Drosophila melanogaster: one gene and its partner. The protein of the gene in region 1 interacts with the protein of each later gene in a pairwise test. Each region holds a gene or a part of one and is shown on either strand. Other genes may lie near its edges.

What was found. Proteins that work in one complex are often made in the same cells at the same time.
Region 2: the proteins of CG1463 (region 1) and coro interact in a two-hybrid assay, tested with the Drosophila melanogaster proteins (one large-scale study listed by BioGRID).

What each region holds. Positions count from the first base shown.
Region 1 is NC_004354.4:12,606,609-12,613,129, reverse strand, and holds CG1463 (uncharacterized protein), read left to right. Parts: upstream 1-1,521; 5' UTR 1,522-1,578; coding exon 1,579-1,607; intron 1,608-1,659; coding exon 1,660-2,441; intron 2,442-2,495; coding exon 2,496-2,695; 3' UTR 2,696-3,153; downstream 3,154-6,521. Other genes in the region: Fpgs1 (folylpolyglutamate synthase 1), read right to left, coding at 1-20, 358-648; Sec16 (secretory 16), read right to left, coding at 5,882-6,521.
Region 2 is NT_033778.4:6,859,835-6,870,463, reverse strand, and holds coro (coronin), read left to right. Parts: upstream 1-2,668; 5' UTR 2,669-2,897; intron 2,898-2,939; exon of another isoform or gene 2,940-2,982; intron 2,983-3,323; exon of another isoform or gene 3,324-3,467; intron 3,468-3,522; 5' UTR 3,523-3,579; coding exon 3,580-3,777; intron 3,778-4,579; coding exon of another isoform or gene 4,580-4,597; intron 4,598-5,089; coding exon 5,090-5,356; intron 5,357-5,414; coding exon 5,415-5,828; intron 5,829-5,892; coding exon 5,893-6,186; intron 6,187-6,909; coding exon 6,910-7,116; intron 7,117-7,174; coding exon 7,175-7,402; 3' UTR 7,403-8,204; downstream 8,205-10,629.

The sequences.
Region 1 (6,521 bases):
TTTAACTGCTTAATGGCCAACTGAAAACGGTAGGAAATTAATTAATTAATAACAAACGAATTTGGTATTTAGCTGGGTCAGCATGACATATAGAAACATTTCACACTGAAGATGAAACATTTGCTACTGTAATACCAAATTTCATATTAATCACACACATAATTCTGAAAACACATGAATGGTTTTTATTATTTAGATTTAGAATAATCTCATTTTTGAAATCGAAAAGATAATGCTACGATTGTGAAATCAAAGGTATGATATTAATAAGTAATAGGTAATAAAACTATGACAAAGTAATTAAAAATTGTATCTGTTGGTTTCCAACTTGGGACTTGGGAATTGTTTTAGATTTACCTCAAAGGCTGCATTTGTATCCTTGTTATTGTTATCGCTGCTGCATTGGATATTGCCCGAGACATGATTTCCATTAATACTCTGCTGTGGTGGATTAAGTACGCGTTCCGCCAGGCTAACACCCGATCGGAATGCCGCCAGGTGCTGGATGCGCTGCATTTTCACTGTACTGAGGTTGGTCACCGTACTGTAGGTGCTCATTCTACTACAGTGGGAGCTCTCTCTACTGACGACCAGTGATCTGGGCTTGCGACTCTGTCGAACTAAGTAGCGCAACAGACAAGCAGCCATATCAATAGAGCCGGAATCGTAGACCTCCGACGAACGGCTCTTCGGCTCACTCGTAGTTTTCACTCACAGGTGATTGAGCGGTGGTATCTAATGACAAAAAAAAAACTGGTAAATAAACAAAATCTAATCGGCACGGAAACAGCGTTAAAATTGGGGTAGATCATATGCGACAGGCGCGCGTGTGCGTGGCTTGTAAATTGTAGGCTAGAGCAATTGACCGATAAGACTTTTTATACGCACAACACATCTAATTATAATAACTGATAACATCTAGTTACAAAATGTGCGTATTCAAATATTGCGCCACAAAATGTATAACGGGGAGTTGCTATCGTTTGCGATAAATAGATATACAAGCTCGATAACAAAAACATCGCGCACACACCTACGCAGCCTTCGACCCACACGCTGTGCAAATAAACATTGCTTATTATGTTCATTAGAATGAGCAAATAAAACTTGTTTTGACTTCCAGGTGATTTCGCACTCACTCGATTAGCAATCTGTTTAATTAACGCACTATTTGTGTTGCAATGAAATCAACGTAACAGCAAAACCATAAAACATGCGAGCACAACAACACAAAATAACATGAGTACAGCGAACAGCTGTTTCAGCGACATGCATGCCAAGGTGGCAATTTTCGAGGCGAATCTAGCTAATGAAAAATCTCAAACGTATGGCGTTACACTCTATACATTTAAATCGTAGTATTCAAATATGAACACTTTTGAACAAAAAAAATGTAACTAAACAACTATACTAAACAAACTAAACATTGTTAAAAATAAATAACCTTTACGTTAGCTATATTTTTAGCCTTTTCATTTAGCTACTTTTAGCTAGGCCAGCATCAGATGGTCAGCACTATTGAATGTAAACAATGCCAACACGTGGGTTCAGCTGAAATTGAAATGAATACAGACGACGATGGCCGATGAGACCAGCACTAAGACCAGGTACTGCCCAATTGTTTTTATTTGTAATCTAATAACTAACGAGAATCCACAGAACTATGCGCCTGGGAATGTGCGAGGTGTGCGCCGCAAAGGAGGCCTGCTACGCATGTCCCAAATGCGAGGTGAAAACATGCAGCCTGCCCTGCGTCCAGATCCATAAGAAGGAGCTCAACTGCGATGGCCAGCGGGATCGCACCAAGTTCGTACCGCTGAGCGAGATGACCTCGCGGGAATTCATGAGTGACTACTGCTTCTTGGAGGAGTGCACACGCTATGCAGAGAATCGAAAATCCGATCCGTGCAAGCGATTTACCCACGACCAAAGGAATCTCCCAGTGACTCAACATCGCATGCGGATGGCAGCCAAGAAGCGTAACATTAATCTGCGCTTGCAACTGGAGAATTTCAGTCGGCACAAGGAGAACACCACGTATCTAAACTGGAAACTGGGACGATTCCATTGGCGTATAGAGTGGCTGTTTGCAAATATTCCATACGAGGCAAGCCTTCCCCGGAATGTAACTCGATTTGTGGACAAGGAATGCAATGAGGAGCTCACGCTGCCCGATCTGGTAGCCAAGTATGTGGATCTGCGGCACGAGACGGCACGGGAACAACGCAAACTGCTGGCCAACCATCAGACTGCCGGTATTGGTCAGCTGAGTTTTTGGCTTAGAGCCGAGGGCGTGCGACGCAGCTCTACGAGGTGTTATCTCCTGGACTCGACCAAAACGCTGGCCGAGAATCTAGTCGGCAAAACCATCGTGGAGTTTCCCACCATTTTGGTCACCTACGATCCGAAGCCACCAGGAGGATATGAAGCCATCGACAGCAGTATGTTTTCATGTGTAAATCGACAATTTCATATATTCATTTTCATCTATCAAGGTGAGGAATTCGAGGAAGAGCACGAAGAGCAGGTGCCTGTAACCAAACCAGGAACATCCTCCAACGCAGTTGCGGAGGACTTAGATGATTCACATGATGTGTACTATAAACTGGCTGCAGCATTTGCTGGTGAAGATGTTAGTGAGACTGAAGACGACGAAGAATTCGAGGCACTCTACAGACAAAGTGTTGTACTGTAGAAACCAAGAACTATAGTACTATTGCCTGCCCAGAATTGGTCACCAGCAAAACACGGTCCCGTGTAATTAAAACAATTAGCTTTTATATTTTTACATAAGTTCTGTATTTTCTCATACGCATTTGATTTGATTTTTATTTTAGGCTTATTAAACATTAATAATTCATACCACACTTCGTTTCGATCTAGTTCCATTATTATCAACATCATCATATTACCAATCAATCATGATCATCATAATATAAGTATATATAAAGAAGTTGGAAAAATCAAGTTACAGAGCCTTGGGATTAATCGTAATTTGTGTACACATTTTGAGTACAGAGTTTTGTGGTCAATGCACAGCAGTTTGTCCCTATTTGAAGGATCTGTAGTTTAATTTTGATATACCAATTAGCATTTCGATTTGTACAGAATACATATGTGTGCCAGTATATACCTATATAAATTTATTATATTACTTTCATTCTTCCTATTCTTTGCTTTATATTTTTTTTTTGCCTGCACCAGTTATTTTTTTTTTTTGTTTACTATTTAAATTTAAAATTAAAGCATAAACAAACAAGTTCTAACAAATAAACATTTTCAAAATGCATTTTCAATTCAAACGAATAGTAAAAAAAAAAACAGAATAAACCATTTTAATTGTTCTAAAGATACATTTATATATATATATAATTGGAATCATTTGCATATTTCACACCAATTGTAAAAAAGAAACACAGAGGAGAATACATTGATAAGAGAAACCAGGGAGAACAATTCATTTGCTTCTTAAACGCTTAAATCAATCGAATATCAGCTTTCGTAGTTATATAGACAGATAGATCAGTTATATAGTATTTAGATGTGGAAAATACAGCAATGCATATTCAAAGTGAATTCCGAATTAGTGTCTGGACCTCCCTTCGAATACAAATTCATACAGCTAAACAAAAAATAATCATAAAAACTATGCAACATACAAAAGAAACATGTATATAAACAGAAATCGGGGAAGAGGTCGTGTGTGGATATATAAAGGGTGGGGGATTGAGGGATTTTTTAGGAATCAAGGTGGCGTATAGTTTACATAGAGAAAATTTACATATATAATTCGCTAGTCGTACATAAATCGCTTTCTTCATCGTTCCCTCAATTAAATCATTTACTAAACGTTAAGACATCGATCGCACACAAACACACACACGCACACATGCGCACAAATTGGTAAAATTAGGTTTTTATTTTCTTTGCAATTAAATTGGGTGAGTTAATTTAGTAGAAGGACACGCACAAAGATAGCACAGACAGACAGAAGTTGAACAAACTGTAGAATCTTGAAAATATCGTAGGACCAACTTTTCCCCTGCTGGAAAGTTGACTTTTCTCGTGTGGATGTGTGTGTAAATTTAATGCATGACTGTGTGTGTTTGTAGTGTGTGTGTGTGCGTGTGTGTGTGTGTGAGCGGTCATCGGTTGCAAAAGCCTTTCTTTTTTACGTAGTTTCGAAGTGCTGCTGCTGCAAAAAAGAGAGGAACCCCATCAATCAGGCATCATCCTATCAACCTATCCATCAGTCTCAACTCACATCTCGTTGGCATTTGGGGCAATCCTTTTCACACCCTCACACTCTCCTCCTCCGTCAAATGCTCCATATCTCGGGAGTAGTGCTCCGGCCAGTCCCTCCCCTGATTACCTACTGCTGGGGTACAAAGTAACCGCCTTGGGGCACCGCAGCCGGCGCCATCATGGGGGCCAGCACATTCTCCGGTGCCGCCGACATTGGCGCACCCGAAGGATTGAACACATCCACGTAGGAGTTCTTTAGCGCTGCAGAATGAGAAAGAAAAATAAGAATAAGTTCCTTCGTCGGTCAGATTCCTAACTACACCGATTAGTTTTGAATTTCTTTATATCGGACTTACTGCGGTTGCGTTGCATCTTGAACATGTTCGACTGCAGCTTGGGCTGCGGTCCGCCGGGAACGGCCGCGGGATTGGGCGCCGCTAATGCCGCCGGTGCAGATGACGGGACAGAAAGTGGAGCCGGCGATGGTACCGTTGGAATCAGCTCGGGTGCCGGAGCAGCCGTGTAATCAATGGGGCTGCCATACGTTTGCGGCTGAGACGGCGTTTGCTGATCCATCAACGGTGCTGATTGATGGCTGCCCGGCGCATTGTTAGCCACAGGCATTAAACCCATTCCCAATCCGGCATTACCGATTGGCGCAGCGGGTGGTCCTCCCAGAGCCATGCCCAGATCACTCATTTTGGGTGGCGGCTTAAAGCTTTCAGCCTCGTCGCCGTTGCCTTCGGTGTTTGTCCAGCATTTGCGCTCCTTGTCCCAGACGATGGCCGGATTCTTGTCATCCGGCAGGATCATTTGGTTCTTCGGCTTTAGCGACAACTTGTTCCAGAGTCCGCCAAACCAGCCCGCATTTTTATTCCCAGGTGCGCTGTGTTCAAAATGATATATACTATTTAGAAGTTTGTCTCCCGCTTTTGATTAATTTGTTTTCCTTGAATTGTACTTCTCACCACACCCAATTTGATTGGAATTCGATTTTGGACTCACCCAAGATCGCTGCCGGAGTTGGCCTGTTTGCCCGACGCCTGCTGTTTGCCTGCAGCCTCAGAGGAGCCTACAGGCTTGGTTTTCTGACCAGGATCAGCCACACCACCGGAACCACCATCGTCCTCATCTCCGTAGCTCTTTGACTTGGGCATGGATATCGCCGGGCGCGTCTGTTGCTGCAGCTGTTGTGCGGATTGCAAAATTGAGGTTGGAGTTAAGAAATGGCAACGAATTAGTCTTCTGCGTGATGCAAACGAATTATTCATAAGTCATAGATTATAGGTAAGAGTGTTTTGGGTTGGTTAGTAACAGAGTAGTTATGGGTTAGTTAAATCGAATGAACAACGGAAACGTTTCAAAGTAACTGGCGCAGTCAAAAAATCTGGCTCACAATTATCGTATATAAGGCTTAGTGATAACATATTGCTTAGGGACGCATTAAGACTAGTTATAGATTTACAAGCTAACAGGCTAAGACAAGCTCCAGGTACAGTACAGAAAGCTCCCAAAAAAGCAGCGATGCACTTGCTCATCCTTATTTTCTTGTTACCTAACTCATTGAATTTGTAAATACTGACTGATCATTTGTGGGTATTACTAAGTCTAAAACAGCAAACTGCAGTCAGTTTGTTTACAATTTCTTCTTAGATCTAAGATCCAAGCCAGCATTTGTGGATGTGCTGCTTCGGTGGCCTCTTCGAGTGGGTGCATCGATGTCGAAGGTGCGCACTGCGGCTCCCGGTGGCACCTGTTGCTCCTTTTTGCTGTCCAAATAATTCTCGAATCGACTGAGGCTCTGCTCCACTTCGGAGCACATTTTCTTGTAGTTAAGTGGTATGGCTGGATTGGCTATCAGCTCCTTCATGGACCACACGTGCTGTGGCTGGGCCGCGGAGGTAGCTGCCTCCACGGATGCCGGTGTTCTCTCGACTCTCTGTTTCTCACCGCTTGGTATAATCCCATACTTATTGAGCAGTTGATGCGTATAGTAATCGCCATCATCGAAGCTCTCATCGTCGTCGGCATAGGGGAATAAATCCTCATCACCATCTCCATACTCATCCTCCTCGCCCTCTTCTTCGGCCTGCTCCTCGCCCTCGGCATCCTCATCTATAACATAATCGTGGAGCATGTAGTTCCTATAGCGCTGTAGATCCCCACGATCTGCATTGGCCTCCGGATCATACGAGTTGCTTTTGAGTTGACTCTGCCCCTGGGTCAGTGGCATATCAATGGGATACGTTCCATTAAAGACAATATGTGGCTTTCGC
Region 2 (10,629 bases), on another chromosome or scaffold:
GAACGAGCGGCAATTAAGACAGCAACAAAAGCCAGCGCCACTTGTGATGGCGAGGGGACGTGATGGGTGTCGGGTGGGGCACTGCATATGCATGGGGTTAATTTTAGCAGCAGAGTTCCACTTTCACTCGTACAGCGACGACACCCACTGTGCTGCAAGCCAGTGAGTCTGCCGCGACACTTGCGCGCTTTTTGTCAAAAACTTTGGCTAATCGCCGTCAGGCACGCACACTCTGCAATCAGTTTGATGAACCTTCAACACACACACGCCTGTGTGTGTATGTGCATGTATATGAGCTGCACAACCAATGACGTTGCGCCTGCATCAATGACATCATCATCATCATCATCGCCATCAACCTCACCATCCAGTCGAGATGAGGCGAACGGCGAAAGTTTCCAGTGCAGCCGACAGCCGATAAACAGCGGGCCCCTTATCAGGGGTGACTCATGCATGTGGCATTGATCATTGGCCAGCTGATTAGGTGTCGCTGCAGCTGTGCACAGGAAGAAAAGATACCACGAGTTAATCAAAACCAAGCCGCGCAACGCAAACATATATGTATACAATGTATGATGCCGTATTGATAACACCTGACTGAGCTACAACTGGTCTGATATCTTCACGTATCAAGACAAAGTTTTAATCCATAATTATATAGTATTAATTTTGTTTTAAACCACCTGCCTCTATGTAATTGTGGTGACACGTTAAAGGGAAGCACTTGAGTTTACAAAACTCCATATCCAATAACTCTACACATGAGTTAAGCGGAGTATGTTTAATACATATTTATTAATAACAGTTTTGTCTATACAAGAATGGTTTTGTGCCCTATGCTTTAGGAAAAGTTTGAACTATCAGTTGTAGCTACTTTAATCCGGAAACCATGATGGCATGTGGTCCTACACATTTAATAGATTCTTTTTCGAGTGTACTTGGGGAATAGAGATGTCATTATAACGGAAGTGGCCGGTGAACACAACGTGTCGACAAAGCGGCAAGATTTGCAATCAAGCATTAAGTCAATTCTCGGCCAGTCCCCGATCGCTGGACCATCGCATTCGCATCAATTCAGCGACGGTTGCATCTCTCGCGATTTCAACACAAATTGCTGGAGGGCCCCACAACAGCCCCATTGTCAAATGGTTAACGCGATTACAAGACAGTCGCTGCTGAAAGTTGGTTGACACCCGCTGGTTAAGTGGCGTGCGGATTAGTTGGTTACTTTTCAATAATGATTCAGCAACAGCCTGTTTCTAATTCTGGCAGAGACGCCTCCTAGAACCAAAATCTGACTCAGGACCTTTTTCAAGACCTTTTTCAAACGGAATTCTATTAATTCTAATTATACTATCAAAATCATTATGTTATTTAACCCCATTTCATTGTTATTAAGGTATACATACCTTTCATTTATAGAGAAGTTTATTCTGATTCGTCGAAAACGTTGCAACGATTCCGACCCTATGAAGAATATATTCCTGATCAGAATCGCAGGTTATAGGTAATTTCCGAATGTACTCAAGCGAGTTTTTAGAAGAAAAGAAAAACACTGTTGAACAATTTGAGAAACTAGTGACGCTCGCACCTTTGACATCTATTGTGAATAAATATAATACTAGACTTAAACACAATAACTAGGTAGATTGTGGACTTCCATCTAATGTGAGTTTTGAAGATCCGGTACTAATTTGAACCTTTGACTTAATTTCCTTTCGAATATCTTCAGAAACAGCCTTACATTTGGGGCCCACTGTAAAGAATGGAATGCAATGTGATGCTGGGTATTCAATCACACCACCCGGGTAATGGGCGTCGGGAATGAGTTCTTCAAAGATTTTCATTTCTTCAGCGATTTTCTTGAACCCACACTTCCGTTAATCGCTGAGTGGTCCGCTGATAAAACCACCGACGGTCAAGTTGATTAAGCGCAGAAGAGGCCACTTTTTTGGCCATTGCGAGCGGAATTGCGAATGCAATTATGATCGATCGGGGAAGTGGGAGTGGATGGGGGTGGCTCGACTATGATAACTCAGGCATGGCAGGTGCCAGCGATGCCAACGAAATAAATAAACACATCAAATGCGATTTACAACGCTGCTTTGAGCATCGTGCACTGTGTTTGTATATGAAAATTTCATTTCGCCTAAGATGATTTAATTTTCTATTAATAAGTTTGACCTTCAGCCGCGAAACAAAAATTTTCCCGCCTGCAAACGAAGGTGTTTGGCATATAAACACATAAATAACAACGCATACACACGCCGCAGATATATATATATATATATAGATAGATATATTCCGGGTACAGTGCTTAGGAGTATTTTCCAGTTGGTGGCAAACATTTCGGCGTCGTTTTGGACTACATAGGCGTAGCACTTAACATTATCTCTGTGGTGTTTAGCCAACTCCGAGCTGATATTTCCTTATCAGTGGAGAGGCCATGTCGATACCCACACCCACCCAAGAACAAAGCCCTCCGGGGCTCACCTTGTGGCCAAAAACAGACAGCGTAGAAAGTAATCAATTCTGGGGTCTGCTTTGGGGCCAGTTTAAAGGGGTCAATGACAAAGTTTAGTGCTTGCAATAAATATGAATATCTTTGAGCAAAACAAAACGAAGCAACGAGGCAAAAGAGGCAAATAATTTTATGGCACTTCTCTGATTAAAAACGAAAGCTGTTCGGAGTGGAAGCCTGCCGGGCTCGGCCCAACCCAGAAATGAATTCTGCTTCAAACACGTAGCTATCTAGAAGTCTCCCGGAGTGTTAGGTATATGTTTGGGCTTAGGTTGGCCTGCGGGATCGGTTTGCTCAGCCATAACTTACGTGTTGGAAGGCTACTCATTGCTGGAGTGGCTATTTTGGCGTTATGATGTCATCCTGAAAGAAAGGGGTATGGAAAACTGATAGTTCGACACGTTCCGGCTGGCGCTTCATTAACGAAAGTGGACCCGAATGTGGCAGTTGCCAAGTGGCAGGTGAAAGCGTTCTAGGCGCCTCCCGCCGTTTCCGGCGCTTTCAGTCGCCAACATTAGTGATGCCATAAGCAATTTGATGCAACCTCTCGCGGACAAAGTCAGCGCGTCAATAGCAAGCTGCGAATGGAAAGCTCATTGATTTTCGCAACAAGCGAAATTAGCATATGCAAATTTATTGAACTAATCGAGGCTGCGAAGCGCGGTGAAAGAAAAACGCGTTAAGCTAACACATAAGTGAGCGAAGCTGAAAGCGAATAACATTGCTATTCGGTCGGTTTATGCGTCGCTCAGAACTCGGATAAGGCTAAGATCACGATTTTCAGGTTTCACAGAACTGTGTAGAAAACAAAACCTATCAAATGAGTGTTCAAATCTCTGCCAAAAAGTAGGGGTTTCATATCTCATTCAGGTGCGGAAAGAATACGGCTAAACGATTTCGCTTGAAGACTTGTTATTAAGGGCAAAGGGTGGAAAATACCAAACGCGTAAGAAATTCCCCTACATTGCTAACTATCCTTCGTACGTCTCATTTCTTTTCAGAGCTAGACGTAGAGAAGCTCAGGACTGATCGCTGACCCAAGCCACTGCAGCATCAAGATGTCATTTCGCGTAGTGCGCAGCTCCAAGTTCCGCCACGTCTACGGACAGGCTCTCAAGCGGGAGCAGTGCTACGACAACATACGGGTATCCAAGTCCAGCTGGGACTCCACATTCTGCGCGGTGAATCCCAAGTTCCTGGCCATTATCGTAGAGTCGGCGGGCGGCGGAGCCTTCATCGTCCTGCCACACAACAAAGTGAGTGCGCCACCGGACCTATTATAGTTGCACTCGTCTACGTGCGTCTGCCCCGACGCGGCCAGCTTGGTGGGGTATTTTTAAACAAGACAATGGGCAACTATTTATAGCGCCCTTTTGGCATAAAGTTTGCGGCCATTTGCGGGCTTGTTGCCACGTCGCGAGTGACGTCGACGGATTTCGCATGACTCCACCCAATCTCACATGTGTTTATAAATAGTTATAGATTCTGCTACTACCGCGGCAGCGATACTGCTAGCTGGCGCACTTTTGTAATTTGGCCACTAGCCAACATGACAAACAAATCGTCTAATTTTAGAGAGAGGCAGAGGAGCAGCCAGTTAAATGAATACAAAAATGATATTCGGGCGAATCATTGCATCGAAATGCACACTCAGCTCGGCGACTTATTCCGCTAAAAACTAATTGTTTGTATTCCACTAAATTGCATTTTCAATCTCAAAATCTTTTGGCCGTCCTGCCCCAGATTCAGCTATTCGGGCTTCTGTTTAGTTGTAGTTTTGCGCGCAGCTCCAGCAAATAGTGTGGGCAGCAGAAGCACCCATTCCCCTAATCTTCCGATGCTCCTCTTTTGATGAAAACATATATGGAAGTACACCGATGGTCGTTCCATTTGAAACAAAAATTTGTATGCAAAACGCGCGGCAAGCGATCGTTTTTTTCACTCTAAGCAGTTGCCGCTTTTTTAAGTGATGATTTCTATGTGGAGCGGCTTTCACACGCCCTATTTTACTTATTTTATGGGCACTGGATGATGAGTGAGATCCATCTAGTCGCCAAGGTTGGCCGCATGTGGCAAGTGTAGGCAAGAACAAGCACAAGTTCTTGAAAAAACCAAAATAGATTTACACTCATGGAACTCATTCGAGAAACTTTTTGGAATGATACATTTTAATACATTTATTGAAAGCGATGAACAAAGAATATTATCTAATAATATATAACAATGTTAAATTTGAAATAGTTTACCATTACTATTTGTTATAATATGCTTCGAAATATATAGATTTCGATGGGAGCTATTCGGCATTCCAATTTTCTATAATTCTAGGGCCATATTCGGAAGCAATTGGCATGAAGTTTACAATTATAAATTGCCTGCTTGGCAGATTAGCGAACATAGCAGAACCGAGTGCAGTCGGAGTCGGCTATAAATAATAATTCAGGAATTGGGCTAATGGGTCGCGAGGTTGCAGTTTTGCAATGGTTGCTGCTCATGACTTAGTCGCCATCAATTATAAAAATTTACTGTGGCGTATCGAGCTAATTGAAATTTAATGGACTCTTTCAGGTTGGTCGCATTGCGGCTGACCACCCTTTGGTGGGCGGTCACAAGGGTCCTGTGCTGGACATCGCCTGGTGCCCCCACAACGACAACGTGATCGCCTCCGGCTCAGAGGACTGTGTGGTCAAAGTGTGGCAGATCCCCGATGGCGGGCTGTCGCGAACACTCACCGAACCCGTGGTCGACCTGGTTTTCCACCAGCGTCGCGTGGGTCTGGTGTTGTGGCATCCCTCTGCGCTCAACGTGCTGCTTACCGCCGGCTCCGATAACCAGGTGAGCGAATGCTAACACTTCTTCAGAAGCCCATGCTTATACTCTCTGTATTGCGAAGGTCGTGATTTGGAACGTGGGCACTGGTGAAATCCTCGTGCACATCGACTCCCATCCGGACATCGTTTACAGCGCCTGCTTCAACTGGGATGGCTCTAAGTTGGTTACCACCTGCAAGGATAAAAAGATCCGCATCTACGATCCGCGCACTGCCGAGCTGGAGAGCGAAGCCATGTGTCATGAGGGCTCCAAGGCCACGAGGGCCATTTTCCTACGTCACGGTCTGATCTTCACCACAGGCTTCAACCGTAGCTCGGAGCGTCAGTACTCCCTGCGCGCACCGGATGCCCTTAACGAACCCATTGTCATGGTGGAGCTGGACACGTCCAACGGCGTAATGTTCCCTCTTTACGACGCAGACACGAACATGATCTACTTGTGTGGAAAAGGTGACTCGGTCATTCGGTATTTCGAGGTTAGTACAAGTAAATCTACAATATTACATATGAATATTATCTAACCAAAATCTCATCGAACAGGTAACGCCCGAACCTCCTTTTGTGCACTACATAAACACGTTTCAGACTACAGAGCCGCAGCGTGGTATTGGTCTGATGCCCAAGCGAGGCTGTGATGTGACCACCTGCGAGGTCGCCAAGTTCTATCGCATGAACAACAACGGTCTGTGTCAGGTCATCTCGATGACTGTGCCGCGCAAATCGGATCTTTTCCAGGAGGATCTCTACCCCGATACGCTAGCGGAAGACGCTGCCATCACCGCGGAGGAGTGGATCGATGGCAAGGATGCGGATCCGATCACATTTTCGCTCAAAGTAAGTGGCTAAGGTGCAGAAGCAGCTCAGACTTTTATTCCGTGTTGCGAATACAGCGCTCGCCGCCGAATGCGGCAACGGTTCGGCCACACTGCCAACCATTCCGCCGGCGATAAGAGCGTACAAGATATAGGATATATATCAGCATGTGCGCCAGCGGGGCTTGTCCACAGATGGCAATGCGGCTCGAAGTCGATGAGGCAGTCGCTGCCACTGTGGACGCCCCTTCTACAATGTATTCCAACGGCTTTTGCAGTTGCTTTTGTCTGCTAGCACAAGGACTCCAAGTGAGCTACTTGTGAGTTCCGTTTAAAGCTTACTCCCAGCATTTGCCGGTGGCTACCTACCAGCGTGTGATGCCTGCGCTTGCTTTACTTACGTTTTTTCTGCGTTATCTACGTTTGTGCCTTGTCCGCCCAGCCACATTCCACTCCAATACACAGACTACAGTCCTCGTTCTCCGTTGTACAATGTCACTTGAGACGAGGCATCTTAAGAATGTTTTAGTGACGACCGGAATAAAGAGTATTCACAATGATCTAAAATGGTTTAGTATTCTAAATGTTAGCTAACTTATTAAAGTCTCCTATTGGATACAGTAACACGCCGCATAAATGCACACTTGGCCCTAACACGCACGCGAATGCGCGTGGCGCTTGTCGTTGTGTTCATTGTTGTTTGTTGTGTTCTGAAACGAACAGATTTTCTTACCCGCCTAATCAGGATCGCGTTTCCATTGTACAGGGTGGCTACGTGTCCTCGTCGGTAAACAAATCGCTACCAGCGAAGAAGGCGGGCAACATCCTGAACAAGCCTAGAGGCGACAGCGCTAGCTCCGGTGCAACGAGCAGCAGCGCGGGCGGCGGCAACTTTGCGTCCGGAAATAACAATGAGGCTAGCGAAGGTGGACCGCCTGCAGCGGTTTTATCGGTGAGTACTTGCACTCCTTCAGCGGTTGTATGATTAACTTATTGGTTCACTTCAAAAGGAAAAGGACCTGCGCACCATACAAGACGAGATCCGCAAACTTAAGGCGATCATCGTCAAGCAAGAGAACCGCATCCGCGCTCTGGAGGCCAAGGAGGACGCCCGCAACAAGAATGGAAGCGATGCTGCGCCGGCTTCAGCGGGAGCAGCCACGTCTGACGGCAAAGCCAGTGAAAGTGCCAACGACCACGCGTCCACATCAGCCGGAACGTCAAAGGACGAGGACTAGGTCTAGCAATGAAACGAGGACTGAACTGATAAAAATGGGCGGAATGGATTGGAGGAGAGACAGAGAACTGCTTGTAGAAGCTCGTAGCTACGCTTAATTTCTCTATTGCAACAAAGCGCGCTGAGGACGAATTGAAAAAGAACTTATTGTCTATTACCATTATGGTTTCGATTATTTATTTTTTATAATTTAATATTAGCGAAATCAGTTGAGTGCGGGTGTGGCACAGATAGGGTTAGAGAATGCCGAGCTAAATCATCTAATCGAACTTAAGCGAGCATAACCGAGCAGACCTGGACGCTTAACGTATAAAACATAACATAAAACTACATCCTGCCAAAAATATATAAAAAACCTAACGAACTACCTACATTTTGCGCCCAAAATCAAGCAGAGCGAAGGGCAGGTACTCGGCCCTTTGATCGGCTTGTTGTTACGCAAGTATGAAATTGTTGTAAATTTAACAAAGGCAAATCATAGACTAAACCTCAATCACTTAAGAGTTAACACCTACCTACCAAATTTGTACGAGCTCCTTTCTGTAACGTCTGTATATTTGTACGTCCCGGAAGTTTTCATGACAATAGCTGATAGAATCGATACTGTTCATCCTAGCTGAGGCCCCCTTAATCAGTCACATTTCCCTGCAAATTGTCGTGTCAAACATAGCGAATTTAGTAAGAAAGTGATGGGGGTCATCGGACTTAATTCGTTTTCGTAATCAAAATTTTATTGTTCAAACTAATGATAAGCTGTATTTTGAAATAATAAGAGTAACAATAAATGCAACAAAATCAGAAAGAAAGTAAGAAACCATCGAAACTATTTTTATAAAAATTTGTTTACTTTTCTTTTCTTTCATTTGATTTTACTTTCATTAGTTTTGTTAGAGAACCGAGGGCGAGAGCAGCGTCATTAAACACCTACCGATTTTGTAATTCACAACCATTGTAAAATGAAGACTATATACATATACATACATAAATACTCTATATACAAATAATTTACAATTTGATACGGAATAAAACAAAATACAATGCCAGAAGAAGTTGGGTGCTAATAATGGAGGTGTTTCGTATCTAATTCTTTTCGTAATGTGTGTTCTTTTAGCAGCATTTTCAAATATGTAGATGTTAGTCGACAATGGAATTTTTACCAGCTGCACTTTAAACTAATTGACAACTTTTAATTGCAGAAATAAGCTCATCCATGCGTTATTCATTGCCGAGCCTATGTGTTCGGTTCAATTGAATATGCAAATTCGTTTAATTTTGCCTAAACAGCTTTTGAGCATACTGCCGATGTGTTGTGTGTAATTATTACCTCAGCGAGCAAACCAAAAAAATGCAATTACAATTTACGTGTACAACGATTCTGACATTTTAATTAAACTTGGCCAAGTGCGCTTTTGTGGGTGGCGCGTGGCAATTATGATATAGTGTGTTGCCGACCAAGTTGTTGATTTAATTAAAATTATGTTTGTTATGCAATTTGACTCACTGCAAGTTTCAGCGATTATCGGTTGCAGTCGGTAGCTGTGGGCCATCTTGGTTAGCCAACAGTAAAGGCCATCTAGCTGCTCTAGAGCAACCAGACGTGGACTTGATATTCGGAGTTCAACATTAAATACTATCAATTATATTAAGTAAGTTCGATCAAATTATTAACTGAGTCATAGATGCATTTGTTAACTTTGAACTAAGATTTCGTTTTTCAGACTGTCAATAAATTTCAGCCGGCGTCGAGATGTACGAGTATTTCAGTTAGTAATTAATCGTAACAAACTTTCAGTACTGGCTTAAAGTATTCCATTTGGTAATGAGGTCTTGAAAAAAGTTAACAGTCGGTTTCGGATTAGGGTAATGGAATTTGTAAAGCAATGATAGCTAAATGTGTAGGTTGTTTTATTTTTAGCGCTTTACTTGTTTAAAGACCCAATGCACAGTTTCCTCCAACCCTTCTCCAACTGTTCATAAAAAAATTATATGCAAAGGTGAAGGGTTCTTCCCTAAATAAATGTTCTATTCTACGTGGCTTTTGCACGATGTGATTAGAAATGTGATCTGGCCGTCAAATGGATGAATTAAAATGGCCATTTAAGAAGTCATTTGTCAAGTGATGTATCCATTCTTGAAATTGCTTGGTAACTTGTTTAACATTTGGCTTTCCTACCAATTTAAAAGTAACCTTCAAAAAACCAGCTGGACATCACCTAACTTTATGAATTTCCAAGGACAATTCATTACACTATATGCACTTACTGCAGCATTAGTTGTCAGTACTGTGATTATCCTTGGTAGTAACTTGGGTAGTACATTTATGCAAAAATTACATTGATTGTGCATTCTTCAGTAATCCAGACAGATTGGACCAAAGCCGCTATCAAATCAAGTTATAATCATGACTTTTGATGGGCCAGTAGATTATGATGCCCGGCGGCAGTAAAGGCCAAGCCTAATTTATGTCTACTTCCGCATCCAGGTAAGTTTACGGCCTTCTATTAACATTAACGCTCTACGATTGTCGAAACCGATGGAAGGCATTTGTTAATTAAAAGCAAGCAGCAAATGTGCCAGGAGCAGAAGGACGTGGGAACACGTGCTAAATAAATACTCCTTGCTAAAGTTGCTAAGTACCAGCAGAGGTATCGCCTCTCCAGGACCTCAAAAGGACCCCCACCGAACCCCCTTGACGGCGGCTCTGTCGTAAATTCACGCGGCCCGTGGCTTTGTTTGTGTTTGCTTGCGTGCTCCTCGTCCTGTTAATGCATAAAGAAGTATACGCGCGCACAAAAGGAGCCGTCAAAACATTACTTTCTCGTGTCGGCGGCTCGTGTTTGGGTATTTGTTTATTTTCGCATGAAAATAAATGCGTATAATGGCGGAAGTTTATGCCTCGTAAAGAGAAGTTAATTAGCTTTCTGGAGTATAAAATTTGTTACGCACTCTGCCCTTGATCAACCAACCACATCCCATCATACCGCCGCCGTACGTTCTCAATAGCAAATTGAAAATTTTCCAATAACACATCCAAATATATGCCCACAGAAAGTTGGCCAACTTTCTTCACCCTTGACTACTATTGCTGCACGAGTGCAGTGGGAAAAATATTGAAGCTACGTGTTTGGTTATTGGTAAAGCAAAGTAAAGTATCGTTCCTCAACAATTATAGTAGACTTTGGCGACTTTGCGGCGCATTTCGTTACTAAGTTAACTACAGTCCACGGT